Drosophila melanogaster: one gene and its partners. The protein of the gene in region 1 interacts with the protein of each later gene in a pairwise test. Each region holds a gene or a part of one and is shown in the gene's direction. Other genes may lie near its edges.

Region 1 (6,168 bases):
TTAATTTTGAATAGTTTTAACTACGATACGTATAACAATAACTGAATTCAGACTTAAGTGTTGCGCGTAGGCAATTAAAAGGAAAAAAGGAGACGGAGACCCCTAATGTAATTAGTTCTTATGTGAAAATGGTTTTATTTTGGATGCAACCACAACCACACAACATGCTGTGAAAACTCAATGAACAATTCGTAATTGATATAATTAGGAATTTAGAAAACCAAACGGTCGACCGTTTCATACGATTTAGAGTCAAGATTGAAATGGTTAACTATAGAAAGCAGTTTTTTGTAGCACTAGTATCCAAAGTTTTGGCGTTAAATGTATACAAACCAAAGAATATATTTAGAAACGAAATTAAACAAAGAAATGTAGAAAACACAAATGTGGTTCACTAGTAGCAAACGTTTACGTTTAAGCCTAAGCTACCGGCATTCCAAATATACATGCAACAACATAATAACTCACAAAGAAAAAAGGATTATACCAGTTTTACAAACCAGCACACATCCAACGGATAGATATAAAATTTAAGTAGACGAATCAATTAAGCCATCCCACACCCACACACTGTACACAAGTTGCTGATGATTTCACCGATGTACCCATATATGACTCATGTTAACCCGACGACATTTGGTGACCCCGAGCCCTAGGTGAACCCAAAGCAGTTGCCGTTACTCGTTGCCCGTTGCCATTCCGTTTTCCCGTTCAAATGCGTTCAAATGCTACGTTCCACCCAAATGCAAGTGAAATGTGAAAAGCAAAACCCAAATGGAAGAATTCTTCAATCTTACAGATGGTTCGATGTCTTCTGCTGCTGTTGCCCACTCTGGCGGCACTTGATCCATTCGAAAAGCCATTAAGCAACTTAGTCTCTTGCCAAGATTTAGCCACATCAGCCACAGCACACGAAGCACCACAACTCAGAGGCTAGTGATCCGCTCCAAGAGGTGCTCCTTGTAAATGCCCTGACCCGTACTGATCGACCCGATCACCTGTCTTATTAAATGTGAGCAGGCCGAGGCCAAAACTCAATGTTAATTGTTAACTCTTCAGTGTCTAGCTTGGCTTAGTGCGATCCCAAAACGAATTCCCACCATCCGACAACCCGTTTTTTGTTTTCAATCCACGATTGCTAACCTCGCTTATTGTTCTACACTTGCAGAAAAGAGAAGAAAAAGAAATAATTACGTTTTATTTCGCTCTTGATTTCGATCATTTCAAAACTCGCATAACCAACACACACCTACATCACAATCCCCGCCTCTTGGCTATCGGTAAGTGCCATGCCCACATTGAACCTATCAGCAACTTCGACTTATGCGTGTAACTATCTTTTCTCTCCCCACCAGTGAAGCAGGCGATTGAACGAATTTGAATAGAATACTCCAAAATGCCAAGCTGCCTGCGACGGGAACATAAACAGATCAGATCCACACAGAACCACTGAACCACTCACCCACTCGCATACTCAGCACCACTCGCGCCACGCCACCACCCACCCACTTACACTCAAGCGTTGCGGCTGTGCCGTGTCTGCCACAGAAATTCGGAATTCGTGCACTTTCAGTCAGTTAAAACCCCATCAGGGGTTGCGAGAAAGAGATCATTTGAGACAATTAGACTACCAATGCGATAATTAACGAGGGAGAATTTTACGTTTAAAGGTCGTTCATCAGAAGACATCGGCATAATCTCGGCAACCAGAGGATTATCTCGAATTCGTGCAGTTGATTTTATATTTACCATGCTACTTATCCAGAATGAGGGTATTCGAGATCGGTTTCACCTGATTTAAAGCTACACAGTCAGATCGATTCGAATTTGAATTATCGTTCATATTTGCTCCGCCAAAGATTCTGCTGGACGGCTGTTTAGGAACGAGAATGAAAACTGCTTATACACATAGACTTATTATTACAAGAGTTGATAAACAATACTTACATCATTACCTATGCTATCATTATAAATGATAAAAATAAATTATTAATTAATGAACAATATCTCTACACAACCACAAGATGGAGAACATCGGCAGTAACAATAACGAAATGAGAATTGAGAAGAGGACAAGCGCATTAGCATTAAGCTTAAGCAATTACTACCATACCGTGTACAACTTGTTTTTGGTCTTTTGCGATACATTATCACATTTAACTGTGTAGGAACAGTTACTCCAATATTATGTACGGATTAATATATTTATTTAAACAACTATCGGTTGATTACGCGACATGTCCATGTAGCTAGAATATGAAATTAAATATCCATTACGGGGTAAAGAGAGATGGAGGAAAAAATAAAATTAAATGCATCATATATTTTTGAATATATTATGATTATGGTATTGTGTAATTATGTAAATGCAGACTATATAACATTGTTTATAATAATTTTTAACAATTCTACTGAAACGGCAATAAATTCGAAAATACAAACTAACTAAAAGTGAAAGCAACTTGCCTGCTGCAAACCAAGCGCCTAAATGTATGCATATTGTATATTTATTTTAACTGGCTTAAGAGGGCATCACTTAGTTTCTAAAGCAATACCCTTTCGATAACAATTCATTTAAGACAACTTGCCAACTTGTGGCGAGAAGGGAAACAAGAAGACGAACGTGGAGACGGTGATTTTTATGTGAACATTTATTACTAACTGATAAGCTTTGATTAAACTTAGGAAAGCCGTTATACTATGCATATACACATATATATAAATATATATATGAACTATATATAGTATATATGAATGCTCGTGTGAGCAACCAAACAATTACGATATGAATCATTAAATACTTCCGAAAGCATTAAATCCCTGCAGTTTGTCTAATCCTCCGCCTTGAACTTAAACGAGGTATCCGTCTCCATCAGCATATTTTCCAAACGTAATTCCAACTGGCGTCGCTTCAGATCCACCTTTACCACCGATGCCACAATGCGATCGCCAACGCTCAGCTGCGAATTATTCATGTTACTGTTGTGTATGAGGCCATTGCGCTCCACTCCAACGTCCACGAAGGCGCCAAACTGGGTTACGTTGGTCACGGCACCTGTGTGTCGGAATAGTTTCAATAAGTACATATATGAAATGACTATCATAGTCTCCACTTGCCAGTGACCACCTCGCCCATGCTAAGATCATCCAGCCTAGTTAGACCTTGTTTGAACAGTGGCCTCTTGTCCAGATCTGCTCGATAATCCTGAAGTAATTCGCGCTGCAGGGCAACCAACAGGAACTCCAACTGAAAGGAAATTTATTTTAAATTATTTGAACATTGCAATAGGCCTGTTTAGTATAGATTGAGTGGCACTTACTCGCTCCATGGGCAGCTTGTGCTGCTTGGCAATGCGATCGAGATTAGGCTGGGATGAGGCAAACTGCTTGATGCTAGCTATAAAGGCAGCCTTGCCCACATCCGACAGCTTTAAGTCACATTCTCCGACAATACTGAAAGCACAAAAAGTATTTGGTTTTAGAGTTAAGTTTTCAAATTTTCCATTATAATGATTGCCAAGCTAAAGCAGGAATATGCGGAGCGCTGGCATTATCCTCCAATTGTGCCGCCAGCCAAGCTTCGATATGTTGCATGTGGAAAGGTAGCATTCTACGGCCACAACGATAAGCCGAAATACAAGCCCTGCTGGCAGCATCCGCTCAATGTGCAGGATCAAACCCGCTTTGGAGTTTGCTGGGAGTATCCGCCGGAGCGGTACAAGCGTCGTCCGCTTCCGCCACCGTGCCGGGGATCGACCATTCCCATCCATTTGCTGAAGCCAACCTTCAAGCATTGTGAGAATATCTACTCCCGCTACGATTTTAAGCTTGAGCAGTGTGTGCACGAGCAAACTCTAGTAGTTGACCAGAAAATGAAGGCCCTGAAGAATGAGCTGGAGCAGGCCAAACCATTTCAGATTGAGAGGGTTAAGGAGATGCGTTACCATGGAGTGCGTTATCGCATTTTAGCCAGCTCGACCGGATGCACTAAGACCTATCCCGAGTACATAAGCCGGATGACCGAAGAGCGGGCCCTTTGCGAGTTTCAGAGAGCCTACAATATCGTCAATCAGTCAAAGTAAGTCTATTAAAAATACACAGCCACTGCTAATTTAAAACTTTTTAGCACCGATTTGAGCAATTTATACCTGGACATGAGTGAGTCGAAAAAGGAGCTAGATCAACGCGTAGCCAGGTTGGACCGGTCTTTAGGAAGTACATTCTTGAAAGAGCTAGATTCGGTGCTGCAAATAATCGAGGACTTAAACACGTATTTCTTTGGCGTGATCGTGAAGCTAAAGACGTGGGCGGAGCTGATGGACCCTATGAAAGAGCACTCTATAGAGGACTATCTGGGGCTTTTGAGTCAGGAGACGGACTTCCGGACTTTTATGAGTGCCGGCATGGAGAACTGCACCTGCAAGCGTTGCGACAAGAAGGATCCCTTGAAGCCGTACCTTCCGTGCTGGTGTCAAATGGAATCTAGCGAGGATGTTACAAATCTTAAGAATTTTGACGACGATTGTCCAAAGAACATAGCTGGCATCACGCAACACGAAAGTGACATTGTGACACCTAGTGACACCTCCTTGTTAGTGAGGGCAGCGGATGAAAAGGCCAGGCTTGCGATGAATCAGGCGGAATAAAGTCTCATTATTATTGGTTAATGAAGTCAATTGAATATTGGACTTACCTTTCCACAACGTTGTAGCTCTCAGGATGCACCCAAGTGCAATCTAATGGATTCTGTAGTTGTCCTCCAACGCTTCGGGGTTCGATGCGCACAAAACCGGCGCACTGGACAAACGATTTCTCACCTATGCTTCGCACGGAGAGCAGATCCTTCCGTGTCTTGAATGGTCCTTTCTGCGTACGATGCTCAATGATCTTTTCCGCTTTCTTTTCCGACAGACCAGCAATGTGCCTATATGGTGGAGAATATTAAAAATATATAACTTATTTGACCCTTAATCACACATACTTGAGTACACTCAGACTGGCTGTGTTGAGATCAACGCCAACATAACTGACACACTCGGACACAACGTCATTCAGCGATGCCGTCAAAATCTTCTCGGGAACATCGTGCTGGTACATACCAACCCCCAGGTGACGGGGCTCTATTTTAACATATTCACTCAATGGATCATTCAAACGACGCGCTATGGACACTATACAAAATATGTTTGTTTGTGTTGCTTTTAATTTGATCTTCGTCCAAACCTGCGCTCCTTTCGTTTGTATCCATTTTGGGAAACTCCTTGGCGGCCACATTGCTGCAGGAGTAAATAGATGCTCCATTCTCGTTAACGATGCTGTAGCGAATGATCCTGCTGTCCAGAACGCCGGCATGAAACATACCAGTTAGCCAGTGCTCAGTTTCGCGACAGGCAGTACCATTGCCCAGGCCAATAATTTTACAGCTTTTGGGAAAGGCAAAAAAGACATATTAATAACTATCTTTGCAAATCGAATTCAAAATATATATATACTTATGATCTGAAAGAAGCTGAACCAATTTCTGTTCGGCAGCCCGCTTGTTTGACATGGCACCATGAGGGTAAATAACACCAGTGTACAGCACATCAGCAGTCTCGGATATAAGTGCCAGCTTGCATCCATTTATAAAACCCGGATCTATGCCCAAAATGCGTTCGCCTTTCAAGGGGGATATCAACAGTAGTTGCTTCAGGTTCTTGGCAAACACATCGATGGCTGCCTTTGTGCCTTTTTCTTTTAAAGCCGCTCGAATCTGCCTGCACATCAAGGGCTGCACTGTAATAAGTAATTAATTAACATATCATATGGGGGTCTTAATATATTCCATATCTTACACTTCTTCGCGTAGCACTCCTCTAAGGATTTTGTGAACACCTCCCTTCTTAATGGATATTGCAAGCCTTGGTTCATGTACTGATCGGTTATATAGCGCATCAGATCTCTTTTAAGGTAATCGTTCGTTTCTATCTTGACAGAAAGCCATTTGTGCTTCTCCCCACGATTGATGGCTAACATTTGATAAGGTTTTATAGTTTTAACATCACCCTGGAAGTTGAAATAATTCTCAAACTTTGAGCTATCCAATTTCTTATCTGCATTTTGGTTGGATCCTTTACTGGAGCTTGCTTTACTAGAAGAACTAGATTTAGACGATTTCGCCTCCTTGGT
Region 2 (3,511 bases), on another chromosome or scaffold:
TTAGTCATGAGTTGAAACTTTATTTGAAATATTTATTCAAAATGTGATTCATTAAGTCAGTATACGTTTAGTAAAATGTATTTTAGCACAGATAATAATGCTTTAAACTAACCAAATTATTCATAACAAAAACTTTTTTCTGAAATATGGTGGTATAGATTAGTCTAAATGGCTTTTAAACAATTTTGAATTGAAATGCGTCATTTGGTAACGCCTAAAAATCGCTCAACTGAAGCCGCATAATAATAATTGATAATTATTTTTATTCGTTCTTTGTATGGCCCAAAGTAACAGGAAAAATAAATTATGTTCCATTAAAAAGGGGCAAACGCTGAAACACATAATTAGAAATAGCTCATTTAGTTCTCCCCTCCTTTCACTGCTAATTGCCATTGCGAGTAAAAGGGCTTGCCACTTTAAATTAAAGTTTAAATGTCACTGAACTAAAAAGCTCCCTCTGGCCAACTTTTTCCCGCACAGATGTGCGTTTTCCTGCTCGCTGTATATCCTGTGGAAATGGAATCGACTCCCCAACGACGACTGCCATCAACTGCAGCAGTTTAATTGCAAATTGCAGGGAAGTCGCCTGGTCGAGCAATTACAAAATGCTAGAGTGGGCCGGCGGAATTAAATCAAATCTCTAAGAGGACATGATAACTGAGGGGCAAACCTGTTTAAGCATACCTCTACACCTAGAGAAATAGTAAAATAACGAGCTTTTATTGTAAAATGTTAATAATCTTAGGCCTTAACGAAAAAGGTGTAGTTAAAACCTTTTATGAAATACAGTAATATAACAAATTGAACAAAACTTAAGATGCCTTAATCGCAATTGTAGTTTCCATAAAAAGTTCGATCGATGAATTTCCCTCAGTGCACGCATGTTTTCCAATTTTGCTCGGGCATAAAGACATTTTCATGGGACAGCTTGTTGCACCCACGGCAGGAAAGCGACACTGAAAATGCATTTTCCAAGAGCGGTACTCATCATGCCCCGCCCATCGTCCTCCGGTGATGCATATAAGTCGTAACTATCCCCACTCCCACCTGAGGCACCTGGATCACCTGCACCATCATCGTCTTCATCATCGGACTTGTCTGTAGCACTTGTGCTGCGTTTCTATTTCTATTTCCATCCTCACCGGCATCCTTTCCATCCTTTAGCAACTTCCGCAAGGGTGACGCTCAGCATGGTGTGATTATGCACTAAGAAAAAATTGTCCAACATTTCAAGATCTGAGAAAATATGCATGTTTTCCTATAGTATATAGGATTGAATGAATGAGGACAATCAAAAACTTTTATAATAAACCATCTCAAAATCTCAAAATAAGTTTTTGTATTTCCTTCCTCATTTTTTCCAGTGCATGTCGTGGTGTAGGGGTTTTTTGTGGGAGATGGTGAGTGACTTCCCTTCCGCTTGCGTAGGTGTTTCGCTCGTGGCCATCTTTTGGCCTCAGTTTACCATTTTTCTTCATCTTTTGTGAGCGCTGATGAATTCGTTAGACGCCACCCCCCCCCCCCCTTTTATCCACAACCCACCACCACCCACATTTCCCAACCCCCAATGCCAACCCGCCCATGGTCGCACCTTTGGGGCAATCGTGCGCAGGTTGTAAACAACAGGCGGGGTAAAAGAATGGAAACAAAAACCGCAATAAGTGAACATTTCAGTGCCGCATCCTTGACGTCAGTGGCAGCAGGAAACTGCGGGAAAATCAGGGAAAAGCTGGAGAAAAGCATCAGGAGATGAAGCCGCCAGAAGCCGCAGGAATGCAAACCGATGACATACCGGAAGGAAAGCCACAGGAATCCATTGGTTTTGTAAGATTTCCATTCCGGAGGTTGAGCGAAAATGTTTATGAGAATCAAAAGCAAACAATTAAAATTCAAGGAATCATCGTTTGATGTTTAAATGTTTCGAAAAGCATTAAATGTCATTTGCTACGCTCTAACAAAATAAAATGGCCTGGTTAACTAAAATAATCATTATATTTATCCTTTTGCTACACACTCAATTGACTCAACTGATACAGTATATTGACGATGGTGACACATTTGATGGCTTTAACTCCATATTTGAAAAGCCAAAGAAGCAACGAAGCGGTGCCATGGAGGACGATTTCGATCGAGATCGGGATCAGTGGAAGGTCAATACCGACATGGACTCGCAATCGGGCATATGTCCCGCCGAAAATCCGAATGATGTGAAGTATGAAAAGAAGGATCGCTGCAAGGTTGACAGGAAGATGGTCAAGGACGAGGACGATGACGAGAATGCCGATCCTGCGGGCAATAGTGATGACGATGATATCCATGATGGTGATGAAGACAATGGCGATGATGAGGCTTATGAAGAGGAGGACGACGACATTAGTTTTGAGGATGAAGCTTTTGTTTCGAGAATTAACTGTTTGTTGGGATCTCTGCACAAGCACACCAAAGCCATAACCGATAATCTGCAGATCCTTCAATCCCGCTTGTCAAAAGCGAAAAATGACAACATATGCAGAAACAACAACCAAGGCACTACGCCTACGGAACATCCTAGTCTGAAATGGTCCAAGAAGCCGGATTTCTATGAGGCAACCGAGCTGTGTGCTGATGACAACTGCCATTTCGAGGACAGTGTGGATAACAAAGAGGTCCAGCCACAAGCTTTTACTGAGGATCGTCGAGTGATGGTTCCGCCTCTATTGCAACTCTTCCATGGTCCTGTCCAGCTGCAAACCACTTTGAACAGCGGCCAGGACATCACGGGATCAAAGTCGAGATATTGGATGACCTCACCGGAAACATCAGAGGAGTTTCAGGCTTCATCGCAATTACAGCCGGATGAAAAAAATCAAGAACGATACGAGGATTACGATGCTAAATTGCGTCGCCTCATGGACAGTCGGGATGAGATCGAGCGAAATGTGATGAGAATGATAACTCCGGATTTATAAAATAAATATTGTATGAATATTAATACTTAAAGAGACCCTACAATAAAGAATAAAACCATTTGTATGTACTCTTGCTTTAAATATGTTCACAACTTTTAAAAAATATATTAATACTATATGAAATGTGTAATCCAAGTACGCCAGCCCTTCTTCTGCCAAATGTTTCAGCCGCTTTTACTCATTCCGACTATAGTCAGCACTCCGACAACTTATCGAAAATGACTTCCGTCGCTTTACTGGTGATAATCTACATTTCCATTGTGATTTTCGGGCGCTGTCAAGTGGACGGACGACGTCCACCAAAGAAACCGACCTTCTACGACTACGATGATGAATCGGACATGTTTGAAAAGATGACGGACCAGGACTATGAGGTCCAGTCGAACTGTCGCAAAGGCCAAGATGTGGACGCCATGGACGAGGTACTGGACACCAGTGACTTGGATTTGAACCCAGATTACCGCATGGGCAAGAATATGGCACGTTCACAGCGCAAGTCGCACCACAAGTTTCCCGATTCGTGGGCCATGTTGGTCAAGGAGGGAAAGGAGGAAATGCAGCTG
Region 3 (5,740 bases), on another chromosome or scaffold:
CGGCGAAACCATTTCTCATCCGTGGGGTCTCTTTTGGCTTGAAGGTACGATCCGAGGTTCGGCGACGCCTTCTGGAACAGCGCGAAGTACTCGATGATGCAGTATCTGTACATGATGATGACCTCGTGGGCCATCGTGTGCGATGTGTGGTACCTGCCGCCGATGTACAGGCAGGAGGGAGAGTCGGCGATCGACTTCGCGAACCGCGTGAAGAGTGTCATCGCGAAGCAGGGAGGTTTGATTGATCTGGTCTGGGACGGGCAGCTGAAGCGCATGAAGCCAAAGAAGGAGTGGAGGGAGATCCAGCAAGTCGAGTTTGCCAATCGGCTGAAGTCGGACTCCACCTAAATTACCATATTACCATACAGTGACTGTAAATGATATACATACATGATTTTGCATAATTTGTATTGCAGCGACTGTAATTTGTATAAATTACGATTAACAATTGGATGGTTAAATAAAAGATGAAGTCAAATGTACAATTATAATAATTATTTGTATATTAATTAATTTATCTACTTTGTAAAATAAACGATATCTGATAAGCTGATTATCATAACATCTGGACCCGATCGCTGTAAATTCATTTCTTTGTCATGCAAAACGCCAGCCACACTCTGGCGAAGAATGGGCTCGAAGGTGAGGCCTCTTTGTTGGATGGAGCGAGACCAGGTCAGCAACCTATGGATGTTGATTTTTGGCCACCTGCATATCATGCATAGTTAAGCGGAGCCAAATGAAGCCAACAAGATGGCGAATAACTAGATTACATATTCATAATTATGCGGCTAATAATAAATACGAGTGGCTGACTCAGCGCTGCGCCAAATGTCTATTTTGCACTAATTGTCCACCCATACAGGTAATTAAGACATACATACTTCCGTGTTCCGAGTTGGAGGCGATCGGTCGATCGAGTGGTTAATTCCCGACATTCTTGGCGATGAACTAACCCTGAACTGTCGCCAAAAATAATGGTGGTATCGGATCGGATCGGCACGCGGATAAACAATGCTGGCAAAGCAAACCACATTGTCAGATTTGTCGAGTCAATGGGCCTGGCCTTCATAAATTGTTAGGCTCATTGCCAATCGCAAGTGAGCGATTTACAATTAACAAATACCCAGAGCCCCTCTATTTATAGATATGTTTATACATGGGCATCGCAGGCGCTGATGAAAAGATGCTTCACTCCATCCACATACACATCCACATCCACATCCATATTCATATTCATATCCATGTGCATATTCGTTTGGCCCCCCAATTGAAACACTTGTGGCTGGCCACTCGATCCACTCTCCAAAAACGCTCTTTCGAAAACTGGAACCTATTTTCGAACACTTTATGGCATGTAAATCCGATTCCGATTCCAAATCCGATTCCAATTCCGATCGAGCGATCAATGCGTAATGGGTTTATTTATGGATCTGGGTTGAGCAGTTATGAGCTATTTTCGAATTTCTAAGTTTAAAATAAGGCCATGAATGTACTTTGATACACATCGCATGGGTGTGCATATATTTTTAGACTACAAACATACATATTTACATCTGCGCGGATTTTGGTGTGCGTGTCGAAAGCTAATAAATTAATTGTTGCGTAAAATCAGATTACATATGGGTTAGTTGGTTGGATGGATGGTTGGTTGGTTAGTTGGTTGGTTATACGGGTAGAACCTTCGTGAGAAACAGCCCATTATATATTTCGATTTTTCCCCAAAAATCTTGCATGCCTCGCACTTGAGAGTGCAGTAGAACAAAACAAATTACTTCAAGACGAGGCAAATTCCTTCCCAGTGGGTGAAGATATAGTAATCCAAGTTAGTCTAACTGGTCTGTTACCAGCCCAGGAATGAGACATCGGGGCGTGGATATAGCCGAGAGTACACATACATAGAGCCGTGGGCATTGCATGATAAATAAATGATATATTCAGAAAGTGCTGTTTTTATTACGCAAACTGTATTTTCTTAGTTGTGCCGTGTGCATCCACAAATATAGACTACCTGTGTACAGAATCTTTCCAGTCTAGTCCGCGGCATTTCCGACGAATAGGAACTACTTCACAGAGTACCTCCGAGGTATATATCCTTAGGATTATATATATATATATATACATATATATATGTGTGTATATAATTGAATCGCGCTGATCCACCACACGCATAGCCGCTGCAGTTTGCCATAATCACAGTTTTTTGCCCCCGCAGACACACACACGCACTCAGATCAAAATGCCTTTCGTTCCCGTTGAAACCCCCAAGTGCCCCGCGTGCGGCAAGTCGGTCTACGCTGCCGAGGAGCGCGTTGCCGGAGGCTACAAATTCCACAAGACCTGCTTCAAGTGCAGTAAGTATAAATGTCCTGCCAGCCAGATCGTCTGGACTTGGTCCTTCGAGTCGGATGTCGGATAGCTAACGCAAAACCCTACCCCCCTCCCCCTCCACTCGCCCGTTTCAGGCATGTGCAACAAGGCCCTGGACTCGACCAACTGCACGGAGCACGAGAAGGAGCTTTTCTGCAAAAACTGCCATGGTCGCAAATACGGTCCCAAGGGATACGGTTTCGGTGGTGGTGCCGGCTGCCTGTCCACGGACACTGGCGCCCACTTAAACAGAGAGTAAGGACTAAATAAGAAATATGTTTTGTATGAAAATTGTGTAAAATTCCTTGAATTAAATGTGTAGTTTTGCTTTCTATTAGAACCTGTATGTTTTCAATGTTTTCCACACGCCCACCCCCAAAAAAGCAACCGAAAAATTTGTTTTTAACTTTCCGGGCAGAAACCGCCAGGGATATCCAGTTTCTGATTCCCTGGAAAATTCCACTAACACTAACCGATTGTTAATGTTAAACTAGCAAACACATTGTGGTCTTTGGTGAAATAATTCTTGTATCTTTGTTTACAACGTCCGCGGACTGTAAATTGATAAAATAAATGTACAATAAAACAAAGTAGTTGTAAGCTTATTCACATGTTATTTATAGGTTTCTATTCGCATCTCCCTCGCTGCTGTCTATGTGGATTTCGTGTATTTCCCCAATTCGTTTTTTGTTCGGGCACAACGACCGACCTTTCTGACTTTTGTTCCTCGTCTTGTGTGTGACTAAGATGAAACAACCCCCCCCCCCCCCCACATTGGATGTCCACCGAGAGCGCCGTAATTGAGGGAGGCATTTGAATCTTTCTAGATTCGTTCCGCCCAAGATTCCCCCAAAAGCACCCGACGGGCTGGGCTGCCCACGGTGTGGCATATATGTGTATGCCGCCGAGCAGATGCTGGCCAGAGGAAAGGTGAACTATTGAAACGATCTCGGTCCGTCGGCCCTTGTCTTAGGTGGTGTTCTTTATCGCAGGGTTACCATCGAAGGTGCTTTAAGTGCGTGCAATGCAACAAGACTCTAGACTCAACTCTTCACTGTGATGGTCCGGACAAGGACATTTACTGTAGAGGTACATTTCCAACCCATAGATTTTAGAGAATTAGGATCTCTAGAAGCATTCGCTTTTCAGGATGTTATGCTCAGAAGTTTGGGGCCAGGGGTTACGGGCACATCGGCATTTCGTCCTTGGGGTTGATGTCCGACATCAGGGATAGCGAGTGGCAAAGGTGAGATTAGTAGTAACACCAATTCTGGCTAGGTTATTATGTTGGTGCTTGCAGCGACATGGCTCCCAAAGCCTCCATCATAAATGTGGAGCAAATCCAGGCGCCAATCGGAGAAGGATGCCCACGTTGTGGCGGCGTAGTATTCGCCGCGGAACAAGTTCTCTCCAAGGGAAGGAGCTGGCACCGGAAGTGCTTCAAGTGTCGGGACTGCACCAAAACTCTGGACTCCATTATCGCGTGCGATGGTCCGGACAATGAGGTCTACTGCAAGACTTGCTATGGCAAGAAGTGGGGACCCCATGGCTACGGATTCGCCTGTGGATCCAGTTTCCTGCAAACCGACGGCATTACGTGAGTGGTTTCCATTCCAAGGCTCATCTTGAATTTGGATAAAACAAGCTTTCAATCATATTCGTCAAAATCCAATCCATAATTTGACTGAAAGAGATTTGTTACAGTGAGGAGAACTTGGCATCCGAACGACCCTTTGTGGCTCCGGACACCACTTCGATCATGGCTCCGGACGGCGAGGGATGTCCCCGATGTGGCGGAGCGGTCTTTGCGGCCGAGCTGCAGCTGTCCAAGGGGAAGATGTACCACAGGAAGTGCTTCAACTGCGCCAGGTGCACCCGACCCCTGGACTCGGTGCTCGCCTGTGACGGACCGGATGACAATATCTATTGCAAGCTCTGCTACGCGAAGCTCTTTGGCCCCAAAGGCGTCGGGTACGGACACACGCCCACCCTGGTGTCCACCAACTACGAGTACACGCCCAGCTGGTAAGTCCGTTGTCCAGTTCAAAGAGAGTTCGTCTGGATCCAAGGATCTCTTCTTCCAGCTGGGGAACCATCGATCGCAACGGACAAAAGTCGGAGAACGGGTGTCCGCGATGCGGATTCATGGTCTTCGCCGCGGAACAGGTGAAGAGCGCGAAGAACGTGTGGCACAAGCTCTGTTTCTACTGCATGGAGTGCCGGAAATACCTGGACTCGACCAATCTGAACGACGGACCCGATGGCGGCATCTATTGCCGATCGTGCTACGCCAAGTTCTATGGGCCAAAGGGTGTGGGCTACGGAATCGGAGCTGGCACACTGACAATGGCTTAACAACTCGACCAAAAAAGCGCGTTCAAGAACTAATCCCACCAGCATGGAATAAGCTCCAAGATTCGTGCTGGGGATTTCAGTCCTTGAGCGCCCACATTTTTGAGGATGACGAATAGGTGTAGTATTGCAATTCCACAAGAGTGTACTTTTAGCTCCAAGACAACGACATTTAGTTATGAAAGTATAGAAGGCGAATGAGTTGGCGGTGGTTAGTATAGAAATTGTATAAGTCTCGAACATAAGTACCGAAAAATGCATTCTAACCTTCGACTTGAACTTCATCGTAAAACCTGCGAAAACGAATTTCCAAACCTTGTTTATCGAGGATGCCCAAGAATCCAAAGGATTGGTGTGCAAATGCAAATGCACACCATTTTCAATCGATACCGCCATTCGAAATCCTTTGAACTTCTGAGTTACTCCCTATGATATGATATACATATATGGCAGTCGTAGCAACAAATCAATATCCTATAAGTTTCGAACGACTAATAAACGACAAGTGGTAACTTTGTACATGTGGTTCTGTTGTTTTCAAATATTTATTATATAATAAGTAATAAGTAACGGTAGGACAGATTACTTGGAGAGGGTCAAAGCGTCATCTATTGCAGGAGCTCTTTATTCAAAATATATTAACGATAATGCTAAGGGTACATAGTATGGGAACGGAAGTGGCGATCACCAGGCCGCTGCCCGAGAACGTGGAGTTGCAGCAGTCGGCGGAGAAGACAAGGATCTTGGGGTACAGCGATCTCCAGAAGTTGATCCGCTGGTTGTTCAGCAGGTTGTCCGTGTTGAAGCTCTCGTCGATCAGAAGCACTGAATCGTTATTGGGGGTCATGGCGTTCCACTTCACGTACACGTTCGACTTCGTGGGGTTCGAGGTCTTGGCGAAGTTCGCCCACAGGGTCATGATGATGTCGGCGATCTTCTTGTCGGTCGACTTCCAGTCAACGGAGTTGGTCATGTAGGGATTGCCCCACACGAAGATCTGGTCGAAGTACTTGGGCAC

The links. Proteins that work in one complex are often made in the same cells at the same time.
Region 2: the proteins of CG13843 (region 1) and CG43996 interact in a two-hybrid assay, tested with the Drosophila melanogaster proteins (one large-scale study listed by BioGRID).
Region 3: the proteins of CG13843 (region 1) and Mlp60A interact in a two-hybrid assay, tested with the Drosophila melanogaster proteins (one large-scale study listed by BioGRID).

The regions. Positions count from the first base shown.
Region 1 is NT_033777.3:22,606,029-22,612,196, forward strand, and holds CG13843 (uncharacterized protein), read left to right. Parts: upstream 1-3,456; 5' UTR 3,457-3,509; coding exon 3,510-4,078; intron 4,079-4,126; coding exon 4,127-4,646; 3' UTR 4,647-4,687; downstream 4,688-6,168. Other genes in the region: Efa6 (exchange factor for Arf 6), read left to right, coding at 1,169-1,190; CG31156 (uncharacterized protein), read right to left, coding at 2,832-3,055, 3,118-3,247, 3,321-3,453, 4,694-4,924, 4,982-5,171, 5,224-5,423, 5,493-5,775, 5,835-6,168.
Region 2 is NC_004354.4:17,020,360-17,023,870, forward strand, and holds CG43996 (uncharacterized protein), read left to right. Parts: upstream 1-1,944; 5' UTR 1,945-1,964; coding exon 1,965-2,948; 3' UTR 2,949-3,011; downstream 3,012-3,511. Other genes in the region: CG43997 (uncharacterized protein), read left to right, coding at 3,167-3,511.
Region 3 is NT_033778.4:24,072,984-24,078,723, forward strand, and holds Mlp60A (muscle LIM protein at 60A), read left to right. Parts: upstream 1-1,618; 5' UTR 1,619-2,086; intron 2,087-2,190; exon of another isoform or gene 2,191-2,215; 5' UTR 2,216-2,239; coding exon 2,240-2,354; intron 2,355-2,465; coding exon 2,466-2,625; coding exon of another isoform or gene 2,626-2,629; exon of another isoform or gene 2,630-2,971; intron 2,972-3,197; coding exon 3,198-3,300; intron 3,301-3,362; coding exon 3,363-3,459; intron 3,460-3,519; coding exon 3,520-3,616; intron 3,617-3,670; coding exon 3,671-3,967; intron 3,968-4,074; coding exon 4,075-4,395; intron 4,396-4,454; coding exon 4,455-4,725; 3' UTR 4,726-5,240; downstream 5,241-5,740. Other genes in the region: Gpat4 (Glycerol-3-phosphate acyltransferase 4), read left to right, coding at 45-348; CG10339 (uncharacterized protein), read right to left, coding at 5,351-5,740. UniProt on the Drosophila melanogaster protein: Positive regulator of myogenesis.